Linked DNA regions of Danio rerio. The protein of the gene in region 2 purifies or fractionates together with the protein of the main gene of each other region. This does not show direct contact. Links are inferred from orthologs where the notes say so. Each region holds a gene or a part of one and is shown on either strand. Other genes may lie near its edges.

Region 1 (17,067 bases), on a different chromosome or scaffold from region 2:
ATTAGGGACCATAATAAGCCGTAAGTAAATGGTTTGAATTGTAACAAACTAAAGTGTTACCAATTTTTAATTCAGTCTAAACCTGCCTTGAACTTCCTCAGCACTTGTAAACAAAGTGATACAAACAATAACAATGCCTTTGATTATACTGTCTCAATTTAAGCATGAGCTCTTATCCTATTTGGTTTCATAAAAAACAACGATTTGAGTTACAGATGACTAGAATCAGTTCCGTCTTTTAGGAGACAATCATCTTTTCATGTGAAGCATATTGAAACTTTGCAGAGGTTTTCCACTCACAAACAGCTAAATTACTACATGAAAGATGATATCAGGACAAGCGTGATATCAGGAGGTGCTCGGTCTTACTGGTTCAATGCATTCTTTAGACAACGGTGGTGATGGGAAAGCAGCAAAGATCAGCACTCCTACATAGAGATACGTCAATCCCACCAGCAGGTACGCCAGTGACAGATCCCGGACCTGTGAGTAAAGCATCAGTTCACATTTAATGCCATACAAGAAAAAAAAAGTAACACATCTCATTTCAAAACAATAACTGTACAAGCTATCATCATCATATCACATATTGTTATTTAATGCTGTGTCAGCAACAACGGCTTTATCCTGGCAAAAGCATTTTATTAATAACAAACAACAAATGAATAGGGCATCACGGTGGCGCAGTGGGTAGCACAATCGCCTCATAGCAAAAAAGTCGCTGGTTTGACCCTCTGCTGGGTCAGTTGGCATTTTTATGTGGAGTTTGCATGTTCTCCCCGAGTTCGCATGGGTTTCCTCCGGTTGCTCCGGTTTCCCTCACAAGTCCAAAGACATGCGGTACAGGTGAATTGGGTATGCTAAAATTGACCATAGTGTATGTCTGTGAATGAGTGTGTATGGATGTTTCCCATGGTTGGGTTGCGGCTGGAAGGACATCCGCTGCTTAAAACACACGCTGGATAAGTTGGCGGTTCATTCCGCTGTGGCGACCCCAGATTAATAAAGGGACTAAGCCAAAAAGAAAATGAATGAGATAAGCCCCTGCTTTTATCCACCACCTGGCAGAAACCTGTTCTCAAAGACTTCTATTCAGTATTTATTTGGGTAGCACACATATTCTAAATGCCTTCGGCAGAATTCAAATGAGCCATTTTAAATTAAATTAATTCCAAGATTACAGTGAAATTAATCTAGATTTTAAAAAAATATCTATGCCCACCATAATATATACATTTAAAGTCAGAATTATTAGCCTCACTTGGAGTTTTCTTTTCTTTTTTAAATATTTCCCAAAGGATGTTTAATAGAGCAAGGGAATTTTCACAGTATGTCTGATCATATTTTTTCTTGTGGAGAAAGTCTTGTTTGTTTTATTTTAGCTAGAATAAAAGCAGTTATTAATTTTTTAAACACCATTTTAAGGACAAAATTATTAGCCCCTTTAAGCTATAATTTTTTTTCGATAGTCTACAAAACAAACCATCGTTATACAATAACTTGCCTAATTACCCTAACCTGCTTAGTTAACCTAATTAACGTAGTTAACCCTTTAAATGTCACTTTAAGCCAGGGGTGTCCAAAGTCGGTCCTGGAGGGCCATGTGTCCTGCTGACTTTAGCTCCAACTTGCTTAAACACACCTGCCTGGAAGTTTCTAGTATACCTAGTAAGAGCCTGATTAGCTTGTTCAGGTGTGTTTGATTAGGGTTGGAGCTAAACTCTCCAGGACACCGGCCCTCCAGGACCGAATGTAAACACCCCTGCTTTAAGCTGTATAGAAGTGTCTTGAAAAACATCGTCAAATATTATTTACTGTCATCATGGCAAAGATAAAATAAATCAGTTATAAGAAATGAGGTATTAAAACTATATTTCTAATAACTGATTTATTTTATCTTTGCCATGATGACAGTAAATAATATTTGACTAGATATTTTTCAAGACACTTCTATACAGCTTAAAGTTACATTTTAAGGCTTAACTAGGTTTATTAGGTTAACTAGGCAGGTCTTTTGGGAAATATTTAAAAAAGAAAAAAAATATTCAAAGGGGGGCTATTAATTCTGACTTCAACTGTATATTTATATTTCAATATCACATGTCAATGCTTCCAGATTTAAAAAGAGCATCCCTACAATGACTGAAGCCACAAAAAACTAGAGGGCATTAAATGGCATAACATATTTTTGGCCGATAAATTTTGGGTGGCTGAAAATTCAGTACATCTCTAATATTAACACCCTTTTAGAATTCCACTGTTGCACATTTCTGCGGTCATTGATAAGCTCTGGACTTTTTACTCTATTTTAGCCATTGTTATAGACATGATATTATATCGCGATTCCATATAACATCGCTTATCAGCCCAGTCCTACGGTATATACAGATTAATGAGTTTAAAGCAATGTGTTTGCTACTTCTGTACTTTTTGTCTCATTAAAAGTGAAATCACTGTCCTTTCAGATAATCCTCTTTTCTTTTTCTTCCATGTGTTTAAAATAAAGGGAATATTTCCGTCGCAGAAACGGAAGGCTCTGCCATCCTCCTTTTGTGTCTGTTCCTGAAAGGTGAATTAACTAAACTAAAAAGTAACTCGCATTACATTTTATAAAAAAATAACTCAGATAATAGTACTTCATTTTAAAAAGTAATGCATTACTTTACTCGTTACTTAATAAGTGATATTATGTAACTCGAGTGATTGTAATGCGTCACCCCCAACACTAACAGCAACACAATGCAAATGAAATAAATAATAAAATAACCTGCTGTAAATAAACTTCTGGGAGAAACAGGACCAGGGAATTCTTAAAAGATTTAGTGAAAATGTTAGCTCAGTGATAAACTACACATAAGAGAGGGGGAGGACATAAGAAAAACAGCCATAGTTTTGCTGACAGCAGGCTTTTTCTGTTCTTCCTGACAACTTGACCACAATGACTCATCTCCATTTTTTCCTTTATAAAAGATGTTTCCTTTTAGCAACTCGAGCTGTTTCAGCATCTCTATAGAAGAAGTCTTAGTTGTTTTTTTATGCACCCAGTCTATAATTTTTGGAATAGTGAACTAAAGACATAGCTAAGAAGAAGAATAAGAGAATAACGCACTGATGGCAACACTCACGTTGTTCTCTTGATGTTTGTTGTTCTTCATGAGGGTGATGATGCAGTTATGAATAAAAAATGCCAACGTGAGAACTCCACTCAGCTGAGGAAACAGTGTTCGGAACTCTAAAGCAAGACAGAGACACAAAGATGACCACGCATTAGATGTCAAACAATAGCATGTGCTTATTCACACTTTCACTTGACTCGCATCAGGGCAGCTACAACTGTTATCAGCCCTTTATTCATTGTCAGATGTGAATCTCTGCAGACCTATTTTATCCTATACCCTCCAAATTTTTAAAAAGGTAGAAACTTATTTTCCTTCCAGAACCACCTGGCATAATCATTCTCCTCTGTGGCACAATGTGAACTTACTTTCTGGTAAACAACCTTTTAATCAACCATCATGGGCCAATAAAGGTATTCTAACACTAAAAGACATAAATGGAGAAAAATCAATTTTAGATTTTCAAGAGCTGGTTAACAAATTTAATATATCTCCCAACACTCTTTTTATATATTTTAAAATAAGGGCAGCACTAAAGGCTCATAAGACACCATGGGGTAAGGATCTTCATACCCACCCGATTGTGAAATGGATATATAATGCTCCAAGAAAAGGAACTGTTTCCTATCTCTACTGCTGTCTTTCTAATATTAATGCACATAGTTTCTCAAAAGAAAGACTATGGCTATCTGATATGTCTCGACCCAATACAACTATCGATTGGGAAACTGTATGGCATAATACATTCCACGCTTCCACAAACCCTAATCACCAGTTTATTCATTTTAAAACTATCCACAGGGCATATTTAACCACACGTATACGACATATCATAGGTTTATCTCCAGATCCATATTGTAAGTTCTGTGAACCACAGCGTCCAGATACCTTTTTACATATGATGTGGGAATGTCCGGAGGTACAAAAACTTTGGGATTCAGTGCTGGACATTTTATTTAAAGTTACAAAAATTTGTTTCCCAAAAGACCCTATACTGTTACTATTGAATGATAACTCTCAATTTCCCTTAAATGCAAAGGTCCGTAAATTTTGGTTGGCTGCTTCAACTGCTACAAAGAAAATGTTGGTACAAAGGTGGAAACCTCCTCATGATCTCTTAGTTAAGCACTGGTTACATTCATTATTGGAAATACTGTATCTGGAACTGTCATCAGCACGGCTCAACAATGCCAAAGTGGACATTCTTACGGCATGGAAAATCTACATATGCAACGTCAAAGAAATCTTGGACACTTAACCCTCATCTGATGCTACGGATGACAACTTAATGGAAACTATCTAACAGCTTGGTCTAAACTATAGTTATTCTGTGTTTCCTGATGTGCGTATAATGGGGTGGGGGGGTGGGGAATATATATGGGGTTATATCTGTTAAAAGTATTTTGTTATCTGATTGTAAAAACTGTATATTCTCACTTTCGGAAATAAAAAAACTGAATTACAAAAAAAAAAAAAAAAAAAAAAATGTGAATCTCTGCAATAGCACTAATAGTTTACACCTCCTCACATACAGCCATAGAGCATCTTTCAGGGTCTTAGAAAATTTAAGCCAATAGTTTTCTGTAAGCAAGTAAGCAAGATTAATCTAAAGCAAAAACACTTGTGGCTACAAGATCCAGCTCATGAAACTCTTGTGAACAAATATTCTTTGTTTATTTATTAAGTTATCTCAGTGACTTTTTTTTTTTTACTAACCACCCATAAGTTGCCAACATTTTATTGTAGCCCAGTTTGAGCTCTTTCCTACGGAACCCCGGAAGGGACGTAGTGGAGGAGAAAAAAAAAATTGGCAGGGTGGAAAAAAAATAATGGGTGAAAGAAAAAATGGGTGGGAGGAAAATATACATTTCTAAGTTGTTGCGTTCTCTCGCAAAGTTTTGCGTTCCCTCGCAAAGTTTTGCGTTCTCTCGCAAATATGTTTTGTGTTCCCTCAAAACTGTTTCACCACAAACACTTCCTGTTCACTTCTCACGCTAACCCTCCCGTTTTTGCCGAAATTCTCCTGTATTTTACCATTCTACCCCACTTTCTTTACATTACTGTGCGTCGATCGTCGCCTTTCATATGCTACCTCTGAACCAGTGAATGCATGTATAAGCGCTGACTGACAAACGCGCTCCATACAATAAACTGATCCCAGATCAGCGTCTGTACGCGCCATTTAAAGGGACACTTCTGTTAACAAGTGAGTTTATTGTACAGAGCGCATCTATCAGTCAGCGCTTATACATGCATTCGCTGGTTCAGAGGTTGCAAAGTGAAAGGCGGCGATCGACACACAGATTTAACGTAAAGAAAGTGGGGTAGAATGGTAAAATATCTGAGAATTATGGCAAAAACGGGAGGGTTTACATGAGTGAAGTAAACAGGAAGCGTTTGTGGAGAAACAGTTTTGTGAGAGAACGCAAAACATCTTTGCGAGGGAACGCAAAACATCTTTGCTAGATAATGCAAAATTTTGCGACGGAACGCAAAACATCTTTGCGAGGGAACGCAAAAACTTAGAAATATACATTTTCCTCCCACCCATTTATTTATTTTTTCACCCAGCCAATTTTTTTCTCCTCCACTACGTCCCTTCCGGGGTTCCGTACTTTACCGCAGTATTAGACTTAAGGTACTTATTTGTTTGATTGAATGCGCGAGTTCGGGAAAGTGATTTCTTCCCTCTTTGGGATGGGACCACGAGGCGACGTTCATTCACAGAATGCAAGTTTCTTGAGGGCACATAAATCTGAAGAAGTGAGAGCAGTTAAGGAGCGAAGCCAGAAGTCGCTTTGTAAGCAAACATCAGAGCTTTGAATTTGATGCGAGCAGCAACTGGCAGCCAGTGCAAACGGATGAGTAGCGGAGTGACATGTGCTCTTTTTTTTCAATTAGGACTGCGATGTAGCAAAAAAAAATTATATATTTTTAATTTATATAATTTTTTCATATCAGTTGATATCAATAATTATTATGATAAATGACAAATATTTATATCTATCAATTTTATCAAATTTTCAGCATGCCTATCGCCTTTTGCAGCTGATTTAAGACATTTAGTGAAATGTTTTAGCTGTCTGACAATATAAATAATAAAATAATAAACAAAAGAAGAATCTTATTTCAGCATTTACTATTGAAGGTTTCAACAACCAAGACAGAAATAAATCAGAGAAAATAAAATAAAACAGGTTTGGAAGAAGTAAACGGTGAGTTAATAGTGACAGAATTTTCAGTTTGGGATGATCTCTCCTTTTAATGGGGAGTATGGTTAATTTAGGGTAAAATATCTTTTAATATGTTTTATTTAGGAATGTTAATGATTACTTGATCTAATAATTGTCAATAACCCTTTAATCGATAGACCTTATCGATGACTGATTTAGCATGGATATTTAAAGGTTTAGCTATGCTTTGCGATGTGAGCCGCGTCCTTGCTTTACATAATCAAGTGTGTGCAGTTCACCTTACTTATGGAGTCACACTCTTGACATCACATATTGCGGGACGCATAAAAAAAACCCTGTTATAAGCAGATCTCCATTGTATCCATGGGTGTTAACCAATTTTATCTCACAGACCTTAGCAGACTCTCATTTTATGAATCGCGCATCACAGCGAGAAATGCATTGAGACTCACCTTTCACTCAACGAGTTTCTGAGTTCTCTCATCCTTCAGACCGAGTTTATTCTTCTGCGGTAACCTAAGAATACTATCAGTGCTGCGAATAGTTTGTAAAGACTGTCCAGCTCATGCTGCTCAAACCGCTCTTCGTTAATGAATTTAATCAAAACCGTGAAAACAGATTAATGGATTGTTTTGGCGCTCAAGCATAAACTATGGCAGACTTGTTTTAAAGCGCTTCACCTCAGATGTTATTCGTCCTTCTTGTTTATGTTGTAGATAGCTGACCAACAGAAATGCATCAGAAGTTACATTCATTCATTCATTTTCTTGTCGGCTTTGTCCCTTTTTTAACCCAGGGTCGCCACAGTTGAATGAACCGCCAACTTATCCAGCAAGTTTTTACGCAGCGGATGCCCTTCCAGCCGCAACCCATCTCTGGGAAACATCCACACACACAGTCATACACTACGGACAATTTAGCCTACCCAATTCACCTGTACCGCATGTCTTTGGACTGTGGGGGAAACCGGAGCACCCGGAGGAAACCCACGCGAACGCAGGGAGAACATGCAAACTCCACACAGAAACGCCAACTTCTTTTGTTTATACATTTCAAAGAAAAATATCTTAATATTAAAAAGGAAACATAAGCTTGACAACAAAAGATCCTATCATTGTCGTAACAAATGCCCTTAAATATTGCAGCCTGTAGTTTACAGCAAGCATCAAGTGTTCATTGAGATCGTGTTGTCTGTCATATCTTTCGTCTGTCTTTTGAGGGGGTTTTCCCATTAGGCACGGCTTTCAAAAATGATGACATGAGACTCTGCTGGGTAGTTGCGCTGGTCTACCAACACTTGTTTGGGTCTGTAATTTTATCAGCATCTTCATAAGGGTGATGCTGTTTTAACTGATGGAAGAGGTTTGTGGGGTTGCCTGCTATGATGACACAAGTCGTCTGCGCAGTTTGCAGTGCATGTTGCTCTGTTTTGTGTCAGATTACACAAAATTAAGTAGCTTCAGGCTACCGAAGTTTAGTGATGTTACTGGTCACTGACAGGTCTGTGACGGTGACCTTTTTACCTTATTTTTTTCTTACCCCTCCAAGTGCAACTAACACTGTATGGCTGTAAACTTGAACAGCGTCCAGCATCTGGATAGGCAAGCTGCAAAATGCCTGAGCATTATTACGCATAGTGCATAAACATTATCGAACATTTTTGAACTGTCATAATCGTTCTATTAAAAAAATATATATTGTGATAATTATCGTTATCGAATTATCGCCCAGCCCTATAAGCAATTCAAAAATATATATAAAATAAATGTCTATATAAAAAAAATAAATATATATATAAAAATGTCAGGACTTCTCCAGGCCCCTAAAACACCCTCAGACCTCAGAGGGTTAATGTGAACAAATTGTCCAGAAATTACATGCTGCAAAAGAGGTGAGAGTTGAAACCTTTGGTCTTGTTTTCAGCTGGTATTTCCAAGCATTAAAACACGTCTCATGTGACCACTTGTTTTTCATTGGGAGTCACTGATTTCAAAGAGATCCTCTTATTTCGTCCACATCACTTTTGTGGAAGCACTGAATGAACAAATCCATGGTACACAGCTTAAACTCCATGTGAGCCTGAAGTTGCTCAGACTTATTTCAGCATGTTGATGTACTTTCAGCTGAAATGGAACATTGAGTAGGAGGCTTTTTTCGCCTCGGTTTAAAAGCTGCTGTATGTAAGTTTTTGACTCTTCTAAAGCATAATTTTTTTTATATTTAAGAAACAATTCTAAGTGAACATTCTTGTTTATGTGAAAAACAATGCTGAAGTCAGATATTCTGAAAAATGACTCTCAATAGCAGGTGTAAATGGTATAAAACTTTACACTCTGTAGAATTAACTGCATTGTCATTTGACATGATTTAAAAATAATAATAATAATTTATTAAACTTTACTTTTTTATATAAAAACATACAGCATTAAAATGTGCATAATTTTACACTCAAGAAGATGCATGCTTTGGTAAATAAGTTTACCTGGAACAAAAAACATTGATGAATCAAACCAGTGAAACTCCAGGTGAAAGCCCAATTGAATGGCTTTATATGTGACCAGAAAAATGAGATAGATCACTGATATTGTGCCTGTGAAGAACAAACAAAAAAAAAAGTTCATTAAAACCGCTGGCAAGTCAAACCCAATTGGCAGGACTGTTTTAACAAAAACATTTGTTCGACATTCAAATGCATATAAATGCTTGAGAGCAAAGATAGAAATAAATGGAAATTATAAAACCAAATTTAGAAAGGCACAGTCATTGAGTACTCTCAAGAAAATTCCAAAGGGAAGACCAAACACACAAGAACACTATCAAGACACAGTTCCACTGTACAATTCAGAAGGTATACCTTTGGGTACAAAGCAAAAGTCTTTCCAATAGTTTTTTTTAATCATTTTGTGAATCTCCTTCCAGTAAACTTGATTGTCACAATCCCAAAATACATGAGTCACTAGCCCCTTTCACACATACAGACCTTTCCGGAAAATTGCCGGCAATTTTCCGGAAATGTTGTGTGTGAACGGGCCTTTTTTGAAAATACCGGTAAATTCGTTCTGGCTATTTTCCGGAAAGAGAAGTTGTAACATTACCGGCAATTTGCCGGAATGCTGCGCTGTGTGAATGCAGAAGGAAGATTGCCATAATAAGCGCGTGCACGTCTAGAACGTGCTGACGTGAGACGTCTGCTTTAGCCAATCACAACAGTCAGACGCATTTACGTCCGCACGGTTTATGAGAATAAAAGCCTTTGAATATTTTTCCAGACACATTTAGCTGCTAGAAGTTAGTCAGATCACGTTTATATGTTCTTCTTAATGCCAACTGTGTAAATAATCATCGATGAGATGCTTATGATAAGTCGCTGTTTGTTTACCTTCAAGCTTTGCGTGTGCCTGTGGAACAGCCTGTGAGCGCCTGCACACGCACATATTATGAACATCTCGACATGCGAAAGTGATCCTGCGAAAGTTGTTCACAATATTGATCATCCACAGAGTTTGTAATTTAGTCAAATGTTTACAAATACAAGCGCAGCCGTTTAAAGCTCATTTGTGGTGAATGATGTCAGAATTTACCGGTATTTTGGAATGGATGTGTGAATGCTCTTTTCCGGAAAATTTCTGTAACGTCCTCGCCTGTGTGAACAGTGCTTTTTTGAATATACCAGTAAAGTCGTTCCGGAAATTTTCCAGAAATTTACCGGTATCACTGTGTGAAAGGGGCTACTGAGACTATGTCTACCTTACCTTTGAAACATAACAGAACAGTTGGGAAATATTCTATGGAGGCGAACTGGAGTTAGATAAATCATGTGACTACATTTATAATTTTGTTTCTGAACCGAAATTGAAGTACTTTTGGGATAGATATTTGAGCAGGCAGATAGCCACTCCTCATCACTAAAAATAGACCCCAAATCCTTTTTTCATATTACCCTTAAAGAATCAAAAGGTTGAATGACCACGATTTGACACTCATGCATCTACAGTTGAAGCCAGAAGTTTACATACACTCTAAAAAAAAAAAAAAAGGAACATAACAATTTTTTTAATAATGTCTGATGGTGAATGATACTAAACATTTACTATTTTAGGATTACCTAAATGATTTACATTTGCTAAATGCCAGAATAATTAGAGATTTTTTTTTTTTTTTGAGAATTTTTGTATTAATTTCTAGAAAGTCAAAAGTTTACATTCATTTCCTTGGTATTTTTTATTTTTATTTTTTTTTTATCTTTGCTTTTAGACTGTATAACTTTGGTCAAATGTTTTTGGTATCCTTCCAAAAGCTTCTCACAATAGTTTGAAGGAATTTTGGCCCATTCCTCCTGACAGAATTGGTGTAACGGAGTTCAGGGCTTTGTGATGGCCACTCCTAAACATTCACTCCGTTGCCCTTAAAGCACATTTTAACTAATTTGGCAGTATGCTTAGGGTCATGGTCTGCTTGGAAGACCCATTTGTGGCCAAGTTTTAATTTCTTTGCTGATGTCTTGAGATGTTGCTTCAGTATTTCTACATAATGTTCTTTCTTCATGATGCCATCTATGCTGTGAAGTGGATCAGTCCCTCCTGCAGCTAAACAGCCCCACAACATGATGCTGCCATCCCATAGTCTACAGTTGGGATGGTGTTCCCAGGCCTCTAAGCTTTCCCCTTTGTCCTCCAAATGTAACACTGGTCATTATGGCCAAACAGTTCAATCTTAGTTCCATCAGACCACAGGACATGTGTCCAAAAATTATTCTTTTTCCAGTGTAATTTAGCGAATTGTATTCTGGCTTGTTGATTTTCTCATGTTGTCACGGGAAGCAGTGTGTTTGAGGTTTAATTAACTCATAAGTTGTCAATTAGCCAATCGGAAACTTCCAAAACTTTAACATCATCATCTGAGCTTTTTCAGAGGCAGAGTAATCTTATTGTATGTAAACTTGACTTTCAAAATAAGTTAAAACAATTTCTCAAAAAAAATCTCGCTCTTATTATTCTGCTATTACGGATAACAGAAACAAATGTGATAATCCTAACTTACCTAAAAGAGAAAAAGTTTAGTCACATTAACATCTGACTTAAAAAAAAAAATGGTTATTTGCCTTTTTATACAGTTCATGCAAACTTCCTATGAAGCAATCATTTGAAATGCATTTTCTAATAAAAAATTTTGTCATCTTGCTTTACTAAAAATATGTACCTTTTTGATTTCAATTCAAAAAGAAATATCAGTACTCTAGGGGGAAAATGAAGGTCATACCCAAGAAAGTGAACCTGGCGAAGAAGGAAGCGGAGCGGAAATTGAGCAGCGGCAGCAGCAGGAGGATGAGGTAAAACGGGATGGTGTTGGTTTTACTCCACCAATGATCAAACTCAAGACCTGTGCTGTTATCACTTCCAGAGTACAGGGAGGTGCTGCTGTTCCCATGTGGATCCACATCTGGATACGGACATATGACTAGTGCCGGAGAACACAGAAACACGTGTACATGTTAATTGTATTCAAATAAGCACATTTAAGGCCCTGTTTCCACATTGTGTTGGATAATTTACTGAAAAATCTAAATTTACTCACTAACTTCCAGTGACCTTTATGAGTTTACTCATATATTACTATGAGTAAAATACTATGGCGGCCAATGGGTACAGGTTTCAAACACTTTTTAAAATAACAGTTTGTGTTCAACAGAAGACAGAAACTCAAATAAATTTGTGACAAGTGAAGGGTGGGTAATTGATGGAAAAGATTTCCAGTTTTGGGTTATTTATCAATTTAATATGCATTTTTAGTGATCCAACCACTAGTAGTGGTCAACAAAGACACATTGTAAAAAGATCAAAGTCACTGTTACTGTAAAAATAAAAGCTTTTTACTTGGTTTTAACCAAGCTGGTCTTCATTTGGTCAAACAAGACATCAGAGAGGTTAAAGGGCTTAGGACTATTCAATTGGCGGCCCGCGGGGCGAACCAGGCCCCAATTTGTTCCGGCCCTCCAAACAGTGTGTCCAAGACATCAAAAATAAATTTATTTCAGTCGAAATACAGCCGCTACAGTTATGAAGTGACGTGCGTCTGTTCAATACAGCACAAGCTCCAGTTGAAAACATAGGGATCCAACAATTAGCCGATTTTATTATTAACTGCGCTTTAATTCGTCACAGTTAATTAATCGTAAAGTCTTCTCTAAGGGCCTACTCGCACTATGCCATCTGTACTGTGCCCAGGCCAGTTTCCCAGATCGTTTGAGAAGTGTGAGTGCGCTGAATCGGGCTCAGGCATGGTTCACTTGGCCGGCCCTGGCCCGGTTGGAAGAGGTGGGCCTGAGCGCGGTTCACTTGGGCCAAAGCCCGAAACTGAAAGCGAGACGTGACTTTTAAGAGGCTGTTTCATATGGATTTATGAAACATTCTTACTGTTCAGTGAACACAAACTGCCGTAGATTATTAAAGACGCAAACTCCTCACTGCACGACAGCTGCGCGCCTTCAGCAGACCTCCTCCTGCAGCACGAGAGCATTATGATTATGAGTGCCAAAAGTGGCGGATCTATTCGGCGAAATATCTGACTGCATGTGACCGCATCCCTAAGGACTGTTTGGCGAAATATTTGACTGCATGTCACTGCATAACAAACCACTGAAATTATTTAACTAGAGAAATCTCCACTGTGCTGCTGACTGAGAGCGCTTCTCACTGAACAGCGCAGTAGCGGGACAAGCATGCTTTGGCCCGGTTCGAGGCAACTGTACGTAGTGTGAGTATGGCCTAAGCCACTTTTCTGTTGCAGGGTAAAAAACTGCTGCAATTAAACAAAAGTTATGCCAAGTTGCCAACTGGTGCGCTAGTTTGAAGTTCCAATAACAATGAGGCTAATACACACGCACACCGGATTAACTATAGCAGTGGCCGTTCCCATATCACGTCTTTTCTGCTTGGAAGTGTGTTATTTCTAAAATAATGTATGCGTGATCAAGCAGAGCAATGCGCTTGCATCTTTCCGGGTGCACGCAGTAGAAAACATCTCATGGTGAGAGTTGTGCGTGCCTTTCAGTGCAATGTAAACAAAAGATATATTTGACGAATTATTATTAAAATGATATGCATGAACGCAGATGGCAACAACAGTTAATCTAAATAGCTACTTACCCAATATAAAACTTGAATTTACATTATACGTGATAACCATGAAACCATAATTATTCTTCAGAATATATAATTGTACAACCAAATCTATAATTGTTGCATCCCTAATTGTTATGCAGTTCAAAAAAATAAAATATGAATGTGTCTGAATGTAGAAGAAGCCTATGATGCGCTGATTTAGTTGTGCTCTGAAATACAACATTAGAATGTTTGTAAAAAAAAAAAAAAAAAAAAGGAAAAAAAAAAGTCTATTGTACAATGCACTGATATTATGTAGTTTCAAAATACAACATACAACATATTAACGTTTCAATGTAGAAAAATACAATATGGGTGTCTTAAGGAAAAATACAGCATATGGGCTCTTATATGCTGTTGTGTTATCACTCATATAGCAAGTCATATCTCTCCGGCCCTTCGTTTGGGATGCTTTTCATGAACCGGCGCCCATGAAAAACCAATTGAATAGCCCTGAGTGTGTCTGAAATCGCATACTTCCATATTAAAATACATTAAAAACTATGCACATTAAAAGAATATGCAAGCTGAGTAGTATGTCGAAATATATAGTTTTCAAAAAAACTGTTTGTGAGAAGTACCCGGATGACCTACTACTTCCGGTTAGATTCTGAAGTATGCATCTAATGGATGCTACGCTACTCCAGTTTCATCATTTCACCAACATCACACCTGAAACCATTAATTAACCTAATCAATTAATCAACCAATAAAATGCTAAATAAAACATAATATATAAATATATAATAAATATAAAAATTTCAAATCTAATTTCTAATTTAAACCTTTTGATGACAGTAAAGTATAAATGTAAAACGCTTCCCTTTGAAATCGAAGTATCAATATCAACACCTCTTCTAGTTCTAGTCTTGTGCTTTAACACACTCAATACCAATATAATGCGGAGTCAATATATTATGTTTAACAGCATTGAAGGAAGCAGCAATGGGATTTCTTTGGCAATTGAGCAGTGTTATTTGGGTGTTCTGCAATACAAGTTTTTAGACAATGCTTTGTTTTACCTATGTTGTATGTGCAAAGCCACAGGGGCATTTAAACAAAAAATTACATTTTGGTGTTAAGAAAAATAATACTTTATTTTTTCCCTAAGCAAAGATGTCTGAAAGTCTGACATTTTATTGTAAATTACATTACAGGCGTTGACGGTATCTATACTTACCCTCAGAATTTCGTTGAGTCCCTGCTATGTTTAATCGTATGTGCATGTGTTTTTAAGGCCTGTGACTGAGCATTTCAACAGAGTATAAAACATTTGAGCACAAAAAACTATAATGTGATAAAACTAAGATTAATAGCATTTTATTATTTAAACAGAATTTATCAAATTTATTAAGAAAAAAATTCATATTTTAGTCTTGTTCCCAGTCCAAATATTTACATTTCAAAATGAGAACAAAATATTTTACTTGCCCCATTCCTTAAAATAAGCTAAATGATCTCATTTAGCTTATTTTAAGGGAATAAAAACTCTTAATTTTGACTTATTTCTTCTGAAAGTGAAAACAAACTAATATTTTTACTTGATTCAAGAATTTGAGCTATTTAGACTAGAAACGAGACGATGCAAAGAAAAGCATTTTTTTGCATTTTGATTATTTAACCCTAAAGAGTTTAATTGGTGCCACTCTAATTTTCAGTTCTTTCATAGATAACAGGAAATCACCAAATTGCTTTAATAAGTTTTGTTTTTTATTTGACCGTGCACAGCAGCTTTATAACAGAACCCTAAAATGTATTTAGTATAATAAAACAGTGCAGCTTCTTGTCCACGTGATCATGAACAGAAGAACTGAAAACAGTAAATAGTGTCATAATAAAAGCTTCACTGCTTTCGTTCTGCGTCACGCTCATCTGTTAGCTCCAATTCCTTCAGCACTCTTGTTTCAATTTAATTTATCATCTACTTTATACTACCATGACAGTCTGAAAGATACAGTAAGTTTTCAATACTTCAGCATATCCATGAACACGACTTCTGCAGGACTTCAAATGGACTTAATAAAGATGGCAACTCCCATGATTTCACCAATGGTTCTTTTGGCTATAATTTGTATAATTTATGAAATATTCTGTCATATTTTTCTTTAATTGAGATACACTGTATACTATTAATATTTGTTTCTGTCTTTTCGTTTTACAGCATAAAGCCTGGTTTATACTTCTGCGTCAAGTGACCGGCGTGACCCACGGCGCATACAACGCGCGTAGCTGAGCGTTTATACTTCTGCGCGCTGTCTCTGTTGGTCTACATTAACACTTCCGAAACACTAGTTGGCAGTGAGGTGTAAATGTTCCTCTGTGTCGAGTTTCTTCTCTGATGTTTTGCTTTTCTTGAACACTTCCTGGATGCACAAGTGGCTCAAACTCGCTCATTTTGAGGCAGGAAGCGGCGGACGTGCAACAACTTTAACTATGATATAAACACAAAACAAAACTTTCCATCCGGAGCTCCTTCACGGAACTCCACACTTGTAAACAATTTCTCCATCAGGGTCGCGCCATTCGCGCGACTCTCGGTCCCGCCCAGACTCATCAGCGCTACCAAGCCGACCAATCACAGAGCTTACACTACGCCTCGTTGCGATGTGTAATTACACTTTTTGAAAGGTGCACGTCAGCGACGCCAACGGCCACGGCGTAGGGCTATGCATTAACGCCGTAGCATACACGTGCTCTTGATGCAGAAGTATAAATCAGCCTCAAGTCAGAGCAATTAATAAATCAAGCCATTTGGATTGTGTTGAGTATCTTTGACCATGTAATGTAAATGATTATGCTTACAACTTCAGACTATTTTATACTAATAATGATAATAATAATAATGACTGCTCACCTCTCTCAGTTCCATTTGTGCCAAATGCATCTGATGTGTTGACATTGTGAACATAGTCTGTAAATGCAAAATATATAAAAGGTTATTCAGAAAAACAATTAAAAGGTTATTCAGAAAAACAATATTAGAATTCTAATTGGCAGTAAAACAAATGAGAAAGGGCAGGAAAAACAGTCACGTACTGAAAATGAATTTTCCCGTATTGAACAGGAAGTTAGACATGAGCACCCAGTAGACCACCATTGCACCAATCAGTGACACCAACGAGAAGACGAGACTGGACCATTTTCCGAAACCCCCAAAGTAATATTTACACACATCAGGAAACTCCCAGTCTGAGGTATCTACATAAGCTGCAAAGACACAGAGTTTCATATTTAAAAAAAACTTCATGTTAACTCTGGCATGACATATGAAAAAAAGACAAGCAAAAATGACATACAGTTAAAGTCAGAATTATAAGCCCCCTTTGAATTTTTTATTTTATTTTTTTGCTTTTTTAAATATTTCCCAAATTATGTTTAACAGAGCAAAGACATTTTCACAATTTTTCTGATAATATTTTTTTCTTCTAAAAAAAGTATTATTTGGTTTATTTTGGCTAGAATAAAAGCAGCTGTAAATTTTTTAAAAACAATTGTAAAGTCAATATTATTAGCCCCATTAAGCAATATATTTTTTCGATAGTCAACAGAACAAACCATCATTATAAAATAACTTGCTTAATTACCCTAACCTGTCTA
Region 2 (17,625 bases):
GGTGTTTCCTGAGAGGACCTTTTATTTGTGTGCAAAATCCGGAGCCGAAGCAGATGAATGGATTAAAATACTACGATGGAAACTGGTAAGAGGAACCTGAAGTTAGCCATACAAAAAATCCACTATGAATAATCAATATATACATAATTTTTAACATTTCAAGTAGTGTCAATTATTTCTATTCAAGTGGAGTTCTTGTTAGTTCTTCGTTTAGTATTAAAAACCAATTGTAATACCTCAAGAGAACTTTACTGATAGTGAATGTCCAGGCATCACCCATATGCTGGACATATACCAGGCCATTTTAACATTAAATCTGTATGTAATGTATTTAACATTCTAGTATTGTTAGCATGCATTAAAGCATTAAAACAGCATAGACTTTTTGAATAGTGGTCTTATTAATTAGATTCATCAGACACTAACAGTTCATCATAAGATATTAATACCTATAAAATATAAGTTAATACTTAAAAGGTACCTATTTCAAAAATCATTTTTGAGTTTGGACAGAACTGTGTGTAGGTATAGTGTCCACATTTAGGAGTGATATAAACACAATAAGTCTCTTTATCCGAATTTACTGATGAAATAATAGGATCCAAATCCCTCCCATTTTGAGGCTCACCGCAACGTGCTGTAGGAGTGTAGTTTCCCCGCCCACAGAATTGATTGACAGTTGCGTCTCTGTCAACGCATATAATCATATTCACAGGACAGGACGTGAGCAAAGCAACCGGGAGTAAAAGATCTGTTTAGCTAAGATCTGTCAAAAGTTTCAATACATTCCTTGGTTTTTTTTAGCTTCGCTTTTAAACTGTAAAACTTTGGTCAAATGTTTTGGGTATCCTTCAACAAGCTTCTCACAATAGTTTGAAGGAATTTTGGCCCACTCCTCCTGACAGATTTGGTGTAACTGAGTCAGATTTGTTGGCTGTCTGGCTCGCACAAGCTTTTTCAACACTGTCCACATATTGTCTAGAGGATTGAGGTCAGGGCTTTGTGATGGCCACTCCAAAACATTTACTCTGTTGACCTTAAGGCACATTTTAACTAATTTGGCAGTATGCTTAGGGTCATGGTCTGTTTGGAAGACCCATTTGTGGCCAAGTTTTAATTTCCTGGCTGTTGTCTTGAGATGTTGCTTCAGCATTTCTACATAATGTTCTTCTTCATGATGCCATCTATGCTGTGAAGTGAACCAGTACCTCCTGCAGAAAAACAGCTCCACAACATGATGCAGCATTCCATACTTCACAGTTGGAATGGTGTTCCTAGGCTTGTAAGCTTTTCCTTTGTTCCCCAAATGTAACACTGGTCATTATGGCCAAACAGTTCAATCTTAGTTCCATCAGACCACAGTACATATCTCTCTAGAAATTGTTCTTTTTCCCAGTGTAATTTAGCAAATTTTAATCTGGCTTTTTTGTTGATTCTGGCTTGTTGATTTTCTCATGTTGTCACACAAGGAAGCAGTGTGCTTGAGGTTTTCCTTAAATACTATTCTACAGTTGTGCCTCCAATTAACTCAAATGTTGTCAATTAGCCAATCAGAAACTTCCAAAAACTTGAAACCACCATCTGAGCTTTTTCAGAGGCATAATATTCTTGTTGTATGTAAACTTGATTTTCAAGAAAGGTTATAACAATTTCTCAAAAATATCTCTCACTATTCTACTATTAAGCATAAAAGAAACAAATGTGACAATCCTAACTTACCTAAAAGAGAACAAGTTTAGTCACATTAACATCAGACTTTTTTTAACTGGTCATGTGCCTTTTTATACAGTGTTTGTAAACGTTTGGTTTCAACTGTATACTTTGGGGACATAACAATGAAAGTTTATTAAATCATCTAAGAAGAACTGGGCTAATTAACAGAATTTAAAAGATGAGAGTTGTTTGTGTGTGTTATTTGGGAGGTAGTTGACTCAGACTCGGTAATGCACCTTAACGTTGGTTGCTGACTGCCATTAAACAAAGAAGATTAGTTGGATCAACTGTGTTTGATTAGTGTTGGAGCAAAACTGTGCAGAGCTGCGGCCCTCCAGGAATCTAGTTTGAGACCTATGATTTAAACCAAGCAAGCAGGTTTATAGTATTAATTATAAACATCTCTCTTTCTTGTCTGTTCCTCCATCTTCTTGTATTTCCAGTCACAGGTAAAGAAAGGTAGATGATGTTCACCAAGAAGAAAAACTGGAGCAAAATAAGAGTCATGTTCAGTTGTGTTTGTGATTACACAAGATACAACAACTGCATCTGATGCCCTGTGATCTCCAATGGAGCAGTTATAAAGAGTCTGGAAGCTGTGTTGGCATTCTAACTGACAGTAGGTTTTTGTTTGTGTTTATGGATACTGAATTTTTTTCTTCTTCTCCAACCCAAGATATATTTGCAGCATGAAGATAAATGTTCCTTTAATAAGTGTCTGCTACCAAACATATCTACATAAACCCTTAATATATACAGTACATCGGAAGTAACAATGCTTTCAGAATAAGACCTTATAATGATGATGCATTTTTAAGCCATACTGGAAGTGTCCATCACTCTTGGTTTCACTGAAACAACATCTGTAAGTAAATCCATATAGAATCTGCGCAGAAATATCTGCAGATCCCATCAAGTCTTTATTTACTAGTGTAAATGGGTGTAAATATATATTTATTCAGTTTTTATATTCATTTCAGCAGTATGATTGAAAAATATGCAAATGTTTAAATGTTTTGTCTATAATAGAGTTTGTAAAGTACGATTTTCTGTCTTTTAGCAGCTATATTATACTGTTAGGACTTGCGTTTACCAAACAAGCGGATCTAATTGTATTTGCATTGTAAACATTAAATAAAAGCTAAAAAGTGATTGGTTTTGTATTTGATGGTTTAGGTTTTTAGTTACTATGCTCCCAAAATCATTCTGCAGATTTTTGCTAAACTTGTGCGCAGAAATTCTTGGCAGATTCTGTCTGGCTCTGCCTTTAAAATATTCCGACTGGCATTTTTGCAGAAAATAAGCTCTGCAGCCAATAAAAGGGGGGGCTGTGGTGTCTTAAAAAGTATTAAAAGTTGTTAAATCAATGTAGAGAAATTTAAGCCCCTTAAAAAGTATTTTGCAAGGTATTAAATTTTATATCATTTTTGATTACGTCATGTATTGTTGTTTGCCTTAATTAAATCTGCGAACATCAGTATGCTGTTTGGTTTATAAAATCAATGTAATCCTACTAGATTTGACATCATGCTGCTTTATTTACTGCAGTAACCAAGGCAACACTATTATTCTGCATTGCATATTATGAATTAGCTAGATTTAATAGATTTTTATTCAGTATATGAATAATGTTTTAATTTTGGAGTAGTTTTATACATTAATATTTAGTAAATATACAGTTAAAATCTCGCCAGTGTTTCCGGTTGAAAAGTGTTTATAAGGTCTTAAAATGTATGGAAAGTGTCTTAAAAAGGTTTCACTCTCTGATTCTGGTATATACATACTCTCAAAAACTGTTTATGATTCTTATATAGTTTGTTCATTAAGATAATCTGAATCATATCTGTAATTAATTTTGTAGCCTATAGGCAATCACCAGAAGTCAAGTTTAAATCATATACTAATATAATATGATGTCACAATGACTGTTTCCTGTCAGTCTTTATTTAAAGCACATTTTAAATTCTTTGTGTGTGATTACGTGAGTAAATACAACAAAGTGGAAATTGGAGTACTTTTCCTGTTCAGTATGATGGCGTATGATGTCCTACTTGTTGCCAGTCCTATTTATAATAAATATGTCATATGTGTTATTATTACTTATGTCGTAATATAAAGCTTTTCCGTTTTAAGCACAGTTTCAGGTGTTTAACCATAAACACATCTGATTCTGGGTCAACAGAAGTGCTAAATTTTGAAGCATGATCTACAAAAATGTCGTCCCAGTAGAATGCTGGACATCACCAAAGTAAAAATTATAAATTCTCTTTCATTCATTTTCCTTTGGCTTAGTCCCTTTATTCATCAGAGGTTGCCGCAGCGGAATGAAACGCCAACTTATCCAGCATGTTTTACACAGCAGATGTGGTTCCAGCTGCAACCCAGTACGGGAAAACATCCTTACACATTCACAATTCACCTATAGTGCATGTCTTTGGACTGTAGGGGAAGCACCCGGAGGAAACCCACACCAACAGGGGAGAACATGCAAACTCCACACAGAAATGGCAACTGACCCAGCTGGCGCTCAAACCAGTGACCTTCTTGCTGTGAGGCGACAGTGCTAACCACAGAGCCACTGTCACCCCAGTTAAATTCTCCAAAAATTTTTATTTTTTTTTTCGTGTTGTTTGGGAGCAAAGAAAAAAGTGCACAATGTCATTAAATACACTTTATTTTTTGTAAACGAACACTTAAGACAAATTTATTAATTAGGATGACACAAAAATGAGCAGGTTACATTCATAAAATACATACAGCATCAGGAGCATCCACAACAACAGCCAGCCAACAATACATATGTACAGATGTGTTTGCATGAACTCGAGCACCAGGACCTCAGATTGGAAAGTGGCTCTCTTATCATTCAGGTGGTCTGAGATGAACAGCTGCTAAGCCACTTCCACCACCTGCCTAAGTTCTTCAATCAGAGGAACCAGCTCCTTCTCCAGACTGAAGATCAATCCTACAGAAGAAAAACAAAGAGGAAAACATATCATTCAACTGATATTAATAGTTCCAAGCCCAACATTGAATAACTGTCATTCAGTCTTTTAAAGGTCTGGTGAAATGAAAATAAACTTTATTAGATATTAGTTTCAGTCTGTTAGTTTTAAGGAAACGCGTTTAGAAGATATAAATCTGATAGAAACATCCAAAGCTTTGCAGTTTGCAATTCCTAAAAGGTTTGTTTTTTTCCATGCCACCACCTCATAGTCAGTTTGTCATCAAATCTTGACCAATCAAATGCTCTCTAGTATCTGACATGCCCCTCCTACTTCAAGATGCTTCTCATTTAATGCATTTGAGCTCAATCCCTCTCACTGGCAAAGCTAACAATAGTTTTTTTTTTTTTAAACGAATCACTATTGGCAGTTTTTTCTTTTAAAAGGGGAGAAACTACTTTATGTCCCACTCTCTTCATTTTTCAGTTGAGATCATGTCAAACATCAAATAAAAATGCACATTTCAAAGCACTTCACGGGACCCTTACATGTACTTTATTCACATCTTAGGCAGACGGATTGCAGGCATGGACTCCAGAGATTTCATTTAATGCTCAAGCATAGGTCTCAAACCCAATTCCTGGAGGGCCGCAGCTTTGCTCAAACCCTAATCAAACACAGCTGATCCAACTAATCAAGATGTTTAAGACTGGCTGTTTCTCATTATCAAGTACACAAAGTTCAGACTTGCTAAGTTCAGACTAGAAGAACGAACTCCTGAGGCCACAAGTCGGGCACTTCTTCAAATGGAACGGCAGTGTACTTTATCACGACACTTGCCTCACCGTGGAGTCATCGATTTCACTGTGCATTAGCAAAAACAATTATTCAATTATATAAAGCACGACCCTATAATTAATATATTAATATTACAAATCTACATTTTTGATTTAAGAAAATGTAAACATAAATTCATATAACTGTGAAGTAAAAGGAGTTATTAGACACGTGTATTTGATTATTAGATTTGATAAACTACAATGGTAATTATACAAGTCTATACATAAGAAATAAAGACATACACAACAAGAAATAAGGATTATGGTCGAACAATTTGGTAAACAAAGACAAACAGCGTACAACACGGTAACATAATTAAAGACCATTATAAAAGGTAACAAAATAATACTGCCAAAATAATACACCTGATAACAAATAATAGATTTTAAAGACCAAATACTGTCCACTAGATATACACAAGATGTATTAAATATCATGTTTTAACTACAATGGATTGATGAGATCCAGCGGTACATCCCAGATGGACTGGCCAAAGTAAGGCTGCTCTTGGCGGGGGAGGTGATGGCGGAGCTCCTGCTGGCAGGCTGGGAGTCGAAGTCTGCATAAGCTGAGGCACATCGTCAAAGATGCGCTATCTTTGTGAATAAACTGCTGATTCGAGTGTAAAACAACTACACTCGCCTGAAAAACTGTTAAAACTTTATTTTGTGACACATTAAAGGAGTACTTTTAAAACTGTGTGGGTTTTCTCCTCCTGGGTTTTCTCTCTTCCATTCTGGAATACTTGAGCTTCGCAAGTTCGCATAAGTCACCTCTCGATGCATCCTTGGCAAGGGTTGATGACGTTTCACGAGGACACAAGACCGCAAATACAGACAAGAACGCATATTAAGAAGCAGCCCTAGACTCTACTAGATCAGCTGTGTTTGATTAAGATTGGAGTAAAACTGTGCAGAGCTGCGGCCCTCCAGGAATTGAGTTTGAGACCCATGTGCTAAAGCAAAAATATTTCTTTATTTTATTTAAAGATTAAATCATTGTTACCTATTTAGTAACACCTTATTATGAAAGCAACATAATTACACTTAATTAAATACATTTATCCCAAATCCACAACACTTAATTAAAATTGAAGCATTTCCAATGACTTCCAGCATCCGTAAGAACCCTGGTTACTGTAATGTACACAGAACATCCATCAAACAGTGCAGGTCAGAAATGGCAGATTCATAAACATTTTATGTTTTAATACATTATTGTTAGTTAATTGGTTTTAATGATCTACACCAGTGTTTAAATTATCTGATTACCGGGGGTCTGCTTTTTTTCTGTTTTGATAATAGCCTACACATGCATGCCTCAGTGAACCAAATTCATATATTTCAATGACATCTCGTTTATTAATAAAAATTACTTTCTGTGTTTTTAATGAGTAATAAATAGACTTTTGCATACAGTAAACCTGTGATGGGCTATTTCAACAAACAACTATTAACAACATGTTTTTGGTATAAAACAGGTATTTTGCTGAACCGGGATAACTTTATTCCAGCTCCAATAAATATATGATAATAAAAGATTGCACATACAGTTTACTGTGCAACTTCCATCTAGTTTAATTTGACTTATCTATTAGGCTACATGTAGACAGAATATAGATAGAATTTACAAGAAACAGCATATTTTGAAGATTTACTGTGGGCTAGATTTGTTTTTTTCTGATTAGAAGTTATTATTAACATATAGGATAAGTTAATATTAATATTAACTTATTATTATTATTATTATTCCAGATACAGATACGTGAAAACTACTTCCCAGACCCCACACACATCTAGTTTTGATATCCTTTAGGAAGTTTAAGCATTAATTAGGAGGGTCAAACCCCCTCTTTAATTTACACCACACTAGCGGGTAAATCAAATACGGCTAAGCAGTGACAACTTCTTTAATTTTGATCTCTAAAGTAAAAATGGCTCATTGTGACAGAGAAATACTCACCCGTGTTAGCGTTACTACTTGCGATGAAACTTATCACTAAGGGTAATCGGTTGAACTGTACAATCTGCCAATGATAAACAGCATACGTTAATATAAGAAATTCTGAGTAACTAGCAGATCAAATGTGTCTTATGTCAAAGAAAGCACCTGATATGTGTTGTAGTAACAAATGATGCTCTTATTTTTGGACAAGCCCAGCTTGCTGCCCTGGTCGGTTGCCAAAGCAAAGGTGGACAAGAAGGCCGGCCGCAGCGCATATTCAGGAGCATTGTCATTAGCCACTAGAGTGGACACAAGCAACATTTCAGAGCTTTACTACATAGATATACTACACATATTATTTTAACATACATATATAGAACATAAAAAGTAGACTTTATTTTAAGTAGATGCTTGAGCTTTCCTTTCATCAAAGAATTCTAAAAGTGACATTTAACATAGCTTCCACAAAACAATGAAGTGGGGAAACTGATAATATTGATAAGATGACTTATTAATAATGATTGATTAGCAATAATAACTGATCATAACAGATTGATTTCTGAAGAACCATGTGACACTGCAGACTAGGGCTGTACAATATATCAGCATCAACATTGCAAATTGATCATTCGCAATAGTCACATGACAAATATAGGCAATGTTGAGTTTGGATTAAAATTCATTATTTGCATGTTTTTGATGCATGGAATTGTATAATGAGCTAAAAAAAAAAAAAATAATAATAATAATTGTATAATGACCTTAAACACATTCAGGCGTAAGAAGTTTAAGTACCATTTGTAACTTTGATAATGGTTAATTTTATAGAACTACTTTTATATTTATTATTCAGTTACCAAACTGAATTTTTTACTAAATTGATTTTATAATTAAAAATTCATATCGCTGCTTAGGTTCTTTTTATCGTTCTATTAATTGTTTTTCATTTAAAGTAAGAATAAAATTGATCTCTCAATTAATTTTTCCTATTATTGATTATGCTGATATTATTTATGACATTACCTCTGATGTTAATTTAAAACCTTTAAATACTGCTTCAATTCTTTGTGTCAATTTGTTTTAAGATGTCCTTATAGAGCCCAACATTCAATATTATACGAAACACTTGGTTTGCTTCAACCTAAGTTCTGCAGACAGTATCATTGGTATTTGTTTCTTTTTAAATGTGTTTATTTTAGTTTCCCCTCTTTATTTAAAGCAGCTTTTTGTTCCATTTACCTCATCATATTCGCTTCGTCATATGCAACAGAATTATTTTTTTGTTCCCAGAATTTCTACAGAAAGTGGCCGTAGGTCCTTTCGATACAAAGCTCCTTCCGACTGGAACGATCTCCCTTCTTTTTTTTGGATCAATTAAATCACTTAGTCTTTTCGAGCTAATTTATTTTCTTTTTTGGAAACAACTTGCGAATGTTATTAATATTGACTCCAAATTAAATGTTTATTATTTATTTGTATATCAAATTGTTAGTACTTTTGATTATATGTTTTTGTTTATTTAGGCTTAAGATTGTGGGAAGTGTTTCAGGCGGAGTGTGCTGCTTGTTTGATTGTTAGTTTGTCTTGTTAAGTGTATGTACGTTATGATGTGTTGTACTCTTTGATTTATGAACTTTTTAGGGACCCCCTCGAAAATGAGATGATTCATCTCAAGGGGCTATCCCTTTCAATAAATTCAATTCTTAAACGGAAATACTGAAACAATCAAACACTTTTTCAGTTGTATCTTTTTCTTGATTGCAATTATAGATTGTTGTGCATGAAAATACTCACAACACATGCAAATACAGAAGTGAATTGCAACTAGCACAAACCACATGGAAAATGTGTCGGGGGACCCAAAAAGTATATAGATTGTTCATTCGATTTTATTGAGATACAAATAGTTAACATTAATTCATCAATCGCTGATTAAACATGTGCATGAAAATACTCACAACACATGCAAATACAGAAATGCTCTGCAAATAGCACAGACCACATGAAAAATGTGTAAGGGGCCCCAAAACGTTTATAGATTATTGTATTTTATGGAGATACACTCCCATTGCAGAATCATCCCAATCGATCTAATATTATAAAATCTTTCCAAATAGAGATATTCAAGTAATCTGGTGAAACTGTATTCAAATCGCAAAATAAAAAATTATCGCAATGCTTGATTTTTCTAATATCGTGCAGCCCAACTGAAGACTAAAGAAAGTAATGATACTCACAATTTAACTTTGATTCAAAGGAATAAACTTTTTTTTTGTTGTTGCTACATTCATGTTTTAATTAAATGAAGTAAAGGAAATCTTACTGTTTTTATACATTTGACCAGTAGTATGCACAAAAATGTAAAAATCTGAGATCTGGTTTTCACCTTTGATTACAGGGACCCCATCTCTATCTGTCACCACAATTGCATGAAGTCCTTCAACACTGATGACAGATTAAAAATAAAGAAATCAGCATTCATTACATCTGGCAATGAATGAAATAAAATGTGTCTAAAATACAAAAAGAATGTCTTTACCTTGGTAGTTGTTTATACAAATAGCTTCTGAGATTCTGCAAGAATCAAGTCAAAACACATTATTAGACTCATGAGAAATTCACTACCAGAAAATTAATTTACAAATATACTCACATCTGCCATATTCATTGGACTGATTATGTACGTCGCCTGCAGCACACTCTAGGGAAAAAGTTGAAAAGTAAAGGACATGGCATGAAAATAATTGAGGTAAAGTTGGTTTTATATTCGCACATTCTTCTTAATGGTATAACTTCAGAAAAGTGTTGTTTCCAAATTCTAAATAGTGAAATCATATTAGCAGCCTATGACTATCAAAGTACAACATTGTTCACAGTCAAATAAATAGTGCTAATGTTGTTTTCAAGTCTACCAAAGTCCCTTTAAGGCATACTGTATTATATGTGTTCTATAGTCTTTGGTCATACTTGCACGTGATTTCAGATTGAATATTCAAAGTACCATGGTAAACAACATAGGAAATTGAGGTAAACTTGGTTTTATATTTGCATATTCGTTCAGTGATAACTTGATTTTGTCCCATATATTGTTTACCATGGTACTTTAAAACATTGGGTCTGAAAAATATGTGTAAGAATGACTTCAAAATAACATTACCACTATTTATTTGACTAAAAACAATCGTGTAGTCTGATGTTGACTGCTAATATGATTTCACTACTTAGTATTTGCAAAGAATACGTTTCAGAAATTATTTTATTAAGGAGAATGTCGAAATGTGTGAAAATAAAACCAACTTTACCCTAATTGAAAATTAACCATGGTTTTACTACAAATAAAAGCAAACACCATGGTAACTTTAGTTAATCCAAGGTAAACACGAATTAAGCATGCAACAGTAATAAAGCTATAGTTAACGTATAAAAATTGGTAATCAATACGTAGATAAACCATAATTCCTACACGTTTACTATAGTAAAACCATGGTTAATTTTCGTAGAAGATTATACGACATTACAACAGCATTTTACCAGCATCTTTGGCAACATGTTTAACGTTACTTACTAACTGCAGACATGTCTAATCCAGAAACTGTTATAAACCCAGAAAGCATCTATTAAAGTCATAATACACAAAAGGCAACAGACTTACCATCAACTGAACTCAACGCTTTATAAAAGTTCTTCTCTTGCGTTTCTGTGCGAGCATCACATGACAAAATACATACGCTTTTCCGTGTACGTCATATCCGTTAAAATGTCACGATCAAATTAACGAGAATTATTGTATTTTTCATAATTTTACCTATTTAATTTTATTTTACTTAACGTCTGCCCTCACAGTAACGTAAAAACGATTATTATTGTTGAAGTGTCGCAAAACGTATGCTGTGATATATTGATGTGCGCATGCGTATCTGCAGCTGCTTTTTAATTCATGCAACAAATATGAAAAACATAATAGAGTAATAAAAGTACAACAACACAGTAGGTAAAACATAATAAAATAGACAAACTATTACAAATAATGCTAGGCCTTGCTAATTTAAATGTGTCAACAGATATAACAGCTTTTTTGTTTGTACTCTCCTAATGGTATTTAAATAAATATCTAGTTCTTTAAGTAGCCTACCATTGAGAAAAGTATGGAGGACGAAACCTGCAAAAACAATAAATAAATAAATGAATAAATACGCAAATTATAAATAAATGAGTAAATGAATCCATAAATTCTCGCTTAAATAAAACATTAAATAAATAAATATGCAAATAAAGAAATAAATGTATATAAACAATCCACAAATTCCTGCTAAAATAAATATTTAAATAATTAATAGTGTGGGCAGGTAAATAACTAAAAAAATTACACGAGGGGAATAAGAAAATGCTAAATTAAAAGTTTATTTTTCCTCTCTTTCAAACGTTAATTAAAATAAACTTTTTCTTATTCCCCTCGTGTAACTTATTTAGTTATTTACCTGCCCGCACTATTAATTATGTATAGACTTGTTTATGCAGAAATTTGTGGATTTTTACACACATTTATTTATTTATTATTTTATTTATGCAGGGATTTATGGATTTATTTACTCATTTATTTATTTATTTGGGTATTTATTTAATTACTGTTTTTGCAGGTTTCGTCCTCCATAGAAAAAATTATCAAATTTTTGACTGCTATGCCATTATAAATTGTGAAAAGGATCAATAGAAAAGGCTTTAAGACAAATTAAATGTTTAATTATTCAAGTAGCCAAATTTTGACAGGGAAGTTGAATGAGCTAGCCAGTTTGTTATTTGCCTATATGCCATTTTTTTAAACCAGTTTTACCAGATTTTTATTTTTAATGATGGATAATAAATTTGATAATAAGTTTTTTTCATATTCACTTTTTAATGATAATCACATAACAATATTTAAATTGTATATAAATTGAAAACATTTTTGGTGCATCAAAAATAGTGTGGTTATGATCACCATCCAACAAGCTTATGGAGCAAAGATTAGTTCTTAAATGACGACAATAACTGCAAAAAGGTCCACTTTTTCAGAAAAAAAGAACCACTCTTATTTACAATAGGCTGGCTACAGGCCTGGATATTTATTAGGTAACGCTCCTCTAATCAATATTTTAAATAAACTTAGACCAATAGAAAATAACATTTACTAACCAATTCTAGCTGTACACCTTTAGACTGGTTGTTGCTTGATCAGATACATTTGCGGCCCGAAGTTAACAAGAATTATATTAAATATTTTTAAATTCCCCCTTAGTTGTATTTTATTGATGTCTACCCCCACCCCAACTCTAAATCAAACCAGTCACAATAATGAAAAAAAAAACAGGTGTACAGAATGTTGTTTGCTATTTATTAAATTAACAAATAAATTGTATTTTTTAAAGTCTACCCAACCCTAAATCCAACCGTCACAGTACTATAAAAATGTTATTGTCATACAGCATTACACAAAAATTATGCTACAGTGATGTATCTAATCTAGACTTTATCTTCTAGAAGAGGGGTGCCCAAACTTTTTCCTATGATGAGGGCCAAAAACCAAACTTGATTGAATGCTGCGGTCTAGAAGTAAATATTACAAACTGTAATTTTAAGGTTGCTATGGGTAATTTCCTAATTCATTTACATAAACGAAAAATGCATTGCTTTATATAAACTAATGCAGTATCATTTAAAAGAGAGAGAGAGAGAGAGAGAGAGAGAGAGAGAGAGAGAGAGAGAGAGAGAGAGAGAGAGAGAGAGAGAGAGAGAGAGAGAGAGAGAGAGAGATGGGCCAAATCAAAGCTTACCATGGGGCTAGTTTGGACATCTCTAGACTTTACCCAAGCAGTGCACGCAAACAGCGCTATCTAGTGGTGGTTACATAGGCTGCTGTTCATGATAACTAAAGTATTTTGTGGTTTTTATGTTTGTAGATGAGTGGAGTGGGTTATACAGCACCTAATATGTCTTCTTTTTTATCTGTGTTAATGTTTTGGTTTAATGTGCTACCTTTTTTACCATTTAACTACAGCAGATGATGATTTAACTTTAACTTAACTCACTGTAAATGGCTCTAGCTATCTATCATCTGTTAGGTAGAAAAGACAGTAAAGATGTTTCTTATTGGAAACACTGAAAAAAAATACATATATACAGGCACTTTTTATTATTTAAACATCCAATATATACATAAATGAATGTCTATATACATACAGAATGAATGCACAAACATATTTACACAAACTTGTATGTTGGATGGCATTCCTTGCGAGAAACTGATTTGACGGACTGGTAATTTCCTAGTTTATGTTTTCATAACGCTGGGGCACATGTTAGTCAAGGCGCAGCATACAGTCACAATCTTGTCCAGGAATGTCATGTCCTCCCCTTCACATGGGACTGCCATGCTGACAGGAACAATCCCATTCAGCATGATGTACTTTGTGCGCACACATCCAGTCACTCTATCTACATGCACCCCAAGGTGAGCTATTTGTTGTTTTTCCACTGCATCTTTAGCGTCCAGAAGTCTGCGTCCTCCGGTGATTTTCAATTCGGCACACATGAGTCCACCACTGTCTCCGATTTCAAATCCATGATCTGCGAGCACCAAGTCACCAGGTAAAAGCTGATCAAGAAGGCCACTATTCTCTGTCACATGCTTGTCGCTGACACAACCTTCCCACCCTTTAGAAATGAAAGATATGGATCCTCGTGGCGTAATGCCAAAGAGATATTTCATTGTTTGATGGTGTTTGCAGTGGGAAAATGTGTGAGCGCTAGATTTGAAACTTGATCCTTTCTGTGTGCAAATTTCAAAGCTGTCCACAATAACTGGCACACAACTGCCAAAAGCCTCAACAAACTGATGTGGCATGGTGGCTTGCAGGTAATGTCTTTCTGGCCAGTGAACGAGAGATTTAAGTTGTTGGAACATAGTGCCAAGAGTATCTTTGAACGTGTTGGACACCGTATCTTGATCCACACAAAAGAGGTATGCGATGTGCTGAACTGGCAGATTGAGTTTGAGGCGCATCAGTGTTAAAAGGAGCATCTGAAAAGGTGAGAGTTTGTGGCCAGTCTGTGGCAGGTGGGGAAGAAGCTGTGTCAGCACACCCATCAGAATCACAAAACACGGTAGCCCAGTGTAGTACTTGACCTTCGCATTGTCCTCTTTAAACGAATCCTCTCCCATGTTTTTTTTAGCAAGCTCTTTCCTCAGTTTTCGGTTTTCCTTTAACAGGTGGTCAATTTCATCACGCATAGAGCTGCAAAAATGGCACTCCTGCTGTCCGGCATTGTCATCATTTGACCCTTCGTCTCTCGTCTGACTTTCATCTGCTATTTCAGCTTTGTCCTGGCCAGCTACAAGTATTGTTGGAGGTGGAGCGCCATCACCAATGATAGCTTCTTCACCCTCTTTACATGGGTTAAACTGCACACATTCAGTTTTGTTTTCTGTGGCCCCAAGATGCAATGATGGATCAAACTTTACTATTTTACAAGGCGGTTTGCCTAAAATAAAAGAACAAATACATTTACTAAGATAGTTATGAAAAATCTCCATTTACATAGCAATTGATAAGTTTTCTTAGGAGTCTAACATTATTCAGGTACAGAAATTATATAATCAAATGTAAAAAAACATAAAATGTCTTCATTTTGTAAATAACCCAGGAAAAATGTATCTTTATTAAGTCAAAAAGGTTTAATTTAAGCAGGCCCGGCGCTACGGGGGGCATTGCCCCCTCAGAAAGAATGTGTGCCCCCCAGTTTTCATAAAGGATTATTGTCAAGACTGAAAATTCTTTTAGGGTGCTTTCACATCTGTGAATCGATTCAGTTGTTCCGAAACAGGGATTACAATTGTTACATTGTTGCTCTTTGCTCTTGGAGCGGTTCGCTTTCACATTGCAAAGTTTCTAATCGGACCAAAAGAGCTAAAACAAGTCATGAGCGAGTAAACTCTCCTCACATTGGTCATAGTGTCAGGATTTGTTTTGCAGCGTCCCGCTCAGCTGTCAGGAGAGGTGGTGGTTTGGTGGTGATTGACAAGGTGCACGCGACATGTCTGAGGAGAGATGTGGTGGGGAGGGGTGAGAAGGGTGCGCGACGATGCCTATTTGAGGACCGGGAGGGAGACGCGCGATTACCGGGAGATTATCACTCGTTTGCGGGCATCCGGAGCAGGGTTCAAAGCAAAGGATTTTTTTTTACAGGTCTGATCGGACCAGTGGTTCAGATTTTTACTTGCCCTGCCAATATTTTCACTGGCCCCACCCAAAAAAAATAAAAATACTAGCTATTTCTTAGCCACAAATAAAAAAAAAAGTGTCAATGTTTGTAAATATAGATTTAATATATTTTAAAAAATGTTAATGCATGTATAATGAGCAAAATTCAAAGTGTTTTGCAAACAAAAGTAGCAAAATGTGCAGGTATTTTATTGCAAAACAAAAGATGACTGACCTGCCAAACTGACGCCAAACTGTACAAAACATCTCTTAATTTTTTTAGTCGAGGTGTAAATGTTTGCAAGATGTTAGAAACAAATGTTTTCTTTTACCATCATCTCTTGATGTTGCCACCATGTTGCTGTCTCTTCGCTAAACTGGTTGTTATGGAAAAAAATAACGTGCTCACAACATCCAATCAGATAAGAGGTACTGAGAAGGTAGCATTTGAAGGCTTAAAAACATTTCTCGATTCTGACTGTATTTGCACGCAATTGACAAATAGTCACAGGCAAGTTAAACTTTAGTGACAGGGCATCAGTGGCCCGATCGGGCAAGTAACGATCCTGTCTACTGTCCCGAGCATCTTACAAGCTGGCCCCGGGCCATCGGGCAGTCCTTAATGTTGAGCCCTGCGGAGACTTGCGAAACTTCCTGCCCTACTCATAATTCTCTCTTCATATAGCCGTATGCCTATTACATATCCATAAAACACAGTGATATAATCGCGCTCGGATCGGATCGCTTTCTTACTGCAATCTCGAAGCGATCTCGGAGCGATTACTTTGGCGCGGAACAGAACGCGATTGCCCTGTTCACATATGCCAAACGAACCGCGCTAACTGGGCTAACGAGACAGGTTCTGAAACAAAAGTGTAGGTGTGAAAGCACCCTTAGTCATTAATTACTAACACTCCCGTCATTCCAATCTTTAGAACACACATTTAGATATTGTATAATATGAAATAGCAAATAAATTATAAAAATGGTGAGATTAAATCTAGACATGTAGTCCAGAAATCTGTTCCCCGCGTCAGGCCAGGTGCACCCGTATATAGCCTTTAAAACGCGCACGGGGAGGCGCACTTAACTCACACAGAAAAAACTGGACTAATGACATGAGGCCATAGCAGCCTAATTCATTACATGTTTTGGTAAACTAATTCTTTAAATACAACTCTCTTATGCTCCAAAGGGAAAAAAAACGCAGAAGAAATTTGCCGTTAAATTAATTTGAGCAAAAACGCAACTGCCAGCTCATCAAAATAGTTTTTCAGTTATGTAGGATATTAAAATTTAAAAAAAATTCACTGCACAATCCCACAGTAGTCTAGACTATAATTATAATTTAAATTTATTATATTCATTCATTATTATTATAAAATTGACAAAACGCAGTACCCTTTTGAATGTTTGCTTTCATTTTGACATGCTAAAGCACACTTTTACAGTTTTGTAAAGAAACATCCCATTATGCAGCAGCAGTCAAGTTCAATGCAAATGCCTTTTGCATTTAAATGATCGGCCTGCGAAGTCAAGTTTACAGTGTTATAAATGGAATAAGTGCGTAAGTGGATTTGCCGCGGATCCATCTCTCACATGTGCTGCAGGTAGGCTAAATGATAATCTTTTAAAAATATGTAATTTAGGTTATTTCTATTTGCTCATGCACAATAGCACCATAAAACATATTGTAGACCTGTATTAAGAGCTAAAATACAGTTAGCATATCGAGTTTGTTTTGACTTGAAGCTCATGGCCCTACAAAATGAAAATAACCTGAAAACAAGTTATTAAAATAGGTTTAATAAATAAATATAATGACAGGTATAGGCCTAGTAACCTAGTGGTTTATGATGTCGTTTTTACAAATGCCAACCGGACAATATCACGGAAAAAAAACCTCAGTTATAGCCTAAGATAAATCTTTTATTTTTTTTACCTTT

What was found.
Region 1: the proteins of lamtor3 (region 2) and slc38a9 purify together in Homo sapiens (affinity purification with mass spectrometry; 3 studies listed by BioGRID and IntAct, with this or other methods). This does not show direct contact. The link is inferred for Danio rerio from reciprocal best matches to the Homo sapiens genes LAMTOR3 and SLC38A9.

The regions. Positions count from the first base shown.
Region 1 is NC_133185.1:7,427,953-7,445,019, reverse strand, and holds part of slc38a9 (neutral amino acid transporter 9), read right to left. Parts: intron 16,678-17,067; coding exon 16,507-16,677; intron 16,382-16,506; coding exon 16,325-16,381; intron 11,768-16,324; coding exon 11,570-11,767; intron 8,901-11,569; coding exon 8,793-8,900; intron 3,233-8,792; coding exon 3,126-3,232; intron 484-3,125; coding exon 370-483; intron 1-369.
Region 2 is NC_133188.1:12,894,742-12,912,366, forward strand, and holds lamtor3 (ragulator complex protein LAMTOR3), read right to left. Parts: upstream 11,168-17,625; 5' UTR 11,095-11,167; intron 10,144-11,094; exon of another isoform or gene 10,142-10,143; 5' UTR 10,105-10,141; coding exon 10,096-10,104; intron 10,017-10,095; coding exon 9,982-10,016; intron 9,888-9,981; coding exon 9,829-9,887; intron 7,742-9,828; coding exon 7,608-7,741; intron 7,525-7,607; coding exon 7,461-7,524; exon of another isoform or gene 6,447-7,460; intron 5,299-6,446; exon of another isoform or gene 5,071-5,298; intron 4,679-5,070; coding exon 4,605-4,678; 3' UTR 4,370-4,604; downstream 1-4,369. Other genes in the region: dapp1 (dual adapter for phosphotyrosine and 3-phosphotyrosine and 3-phosphoinositide), read left to right, coding at 1-85, 2,157-2,180; si:dkey-20i10.7 (uncharacterized protein), read right to left, coding at 13,750-14,960. UniProt on the Homo sapiens protein: As part of the Ragulator complex it is involved in amino acid sensing and activation of mTORC1, a signaling complex promoting cell growth in response to growth factors, energy levels, and amino acids.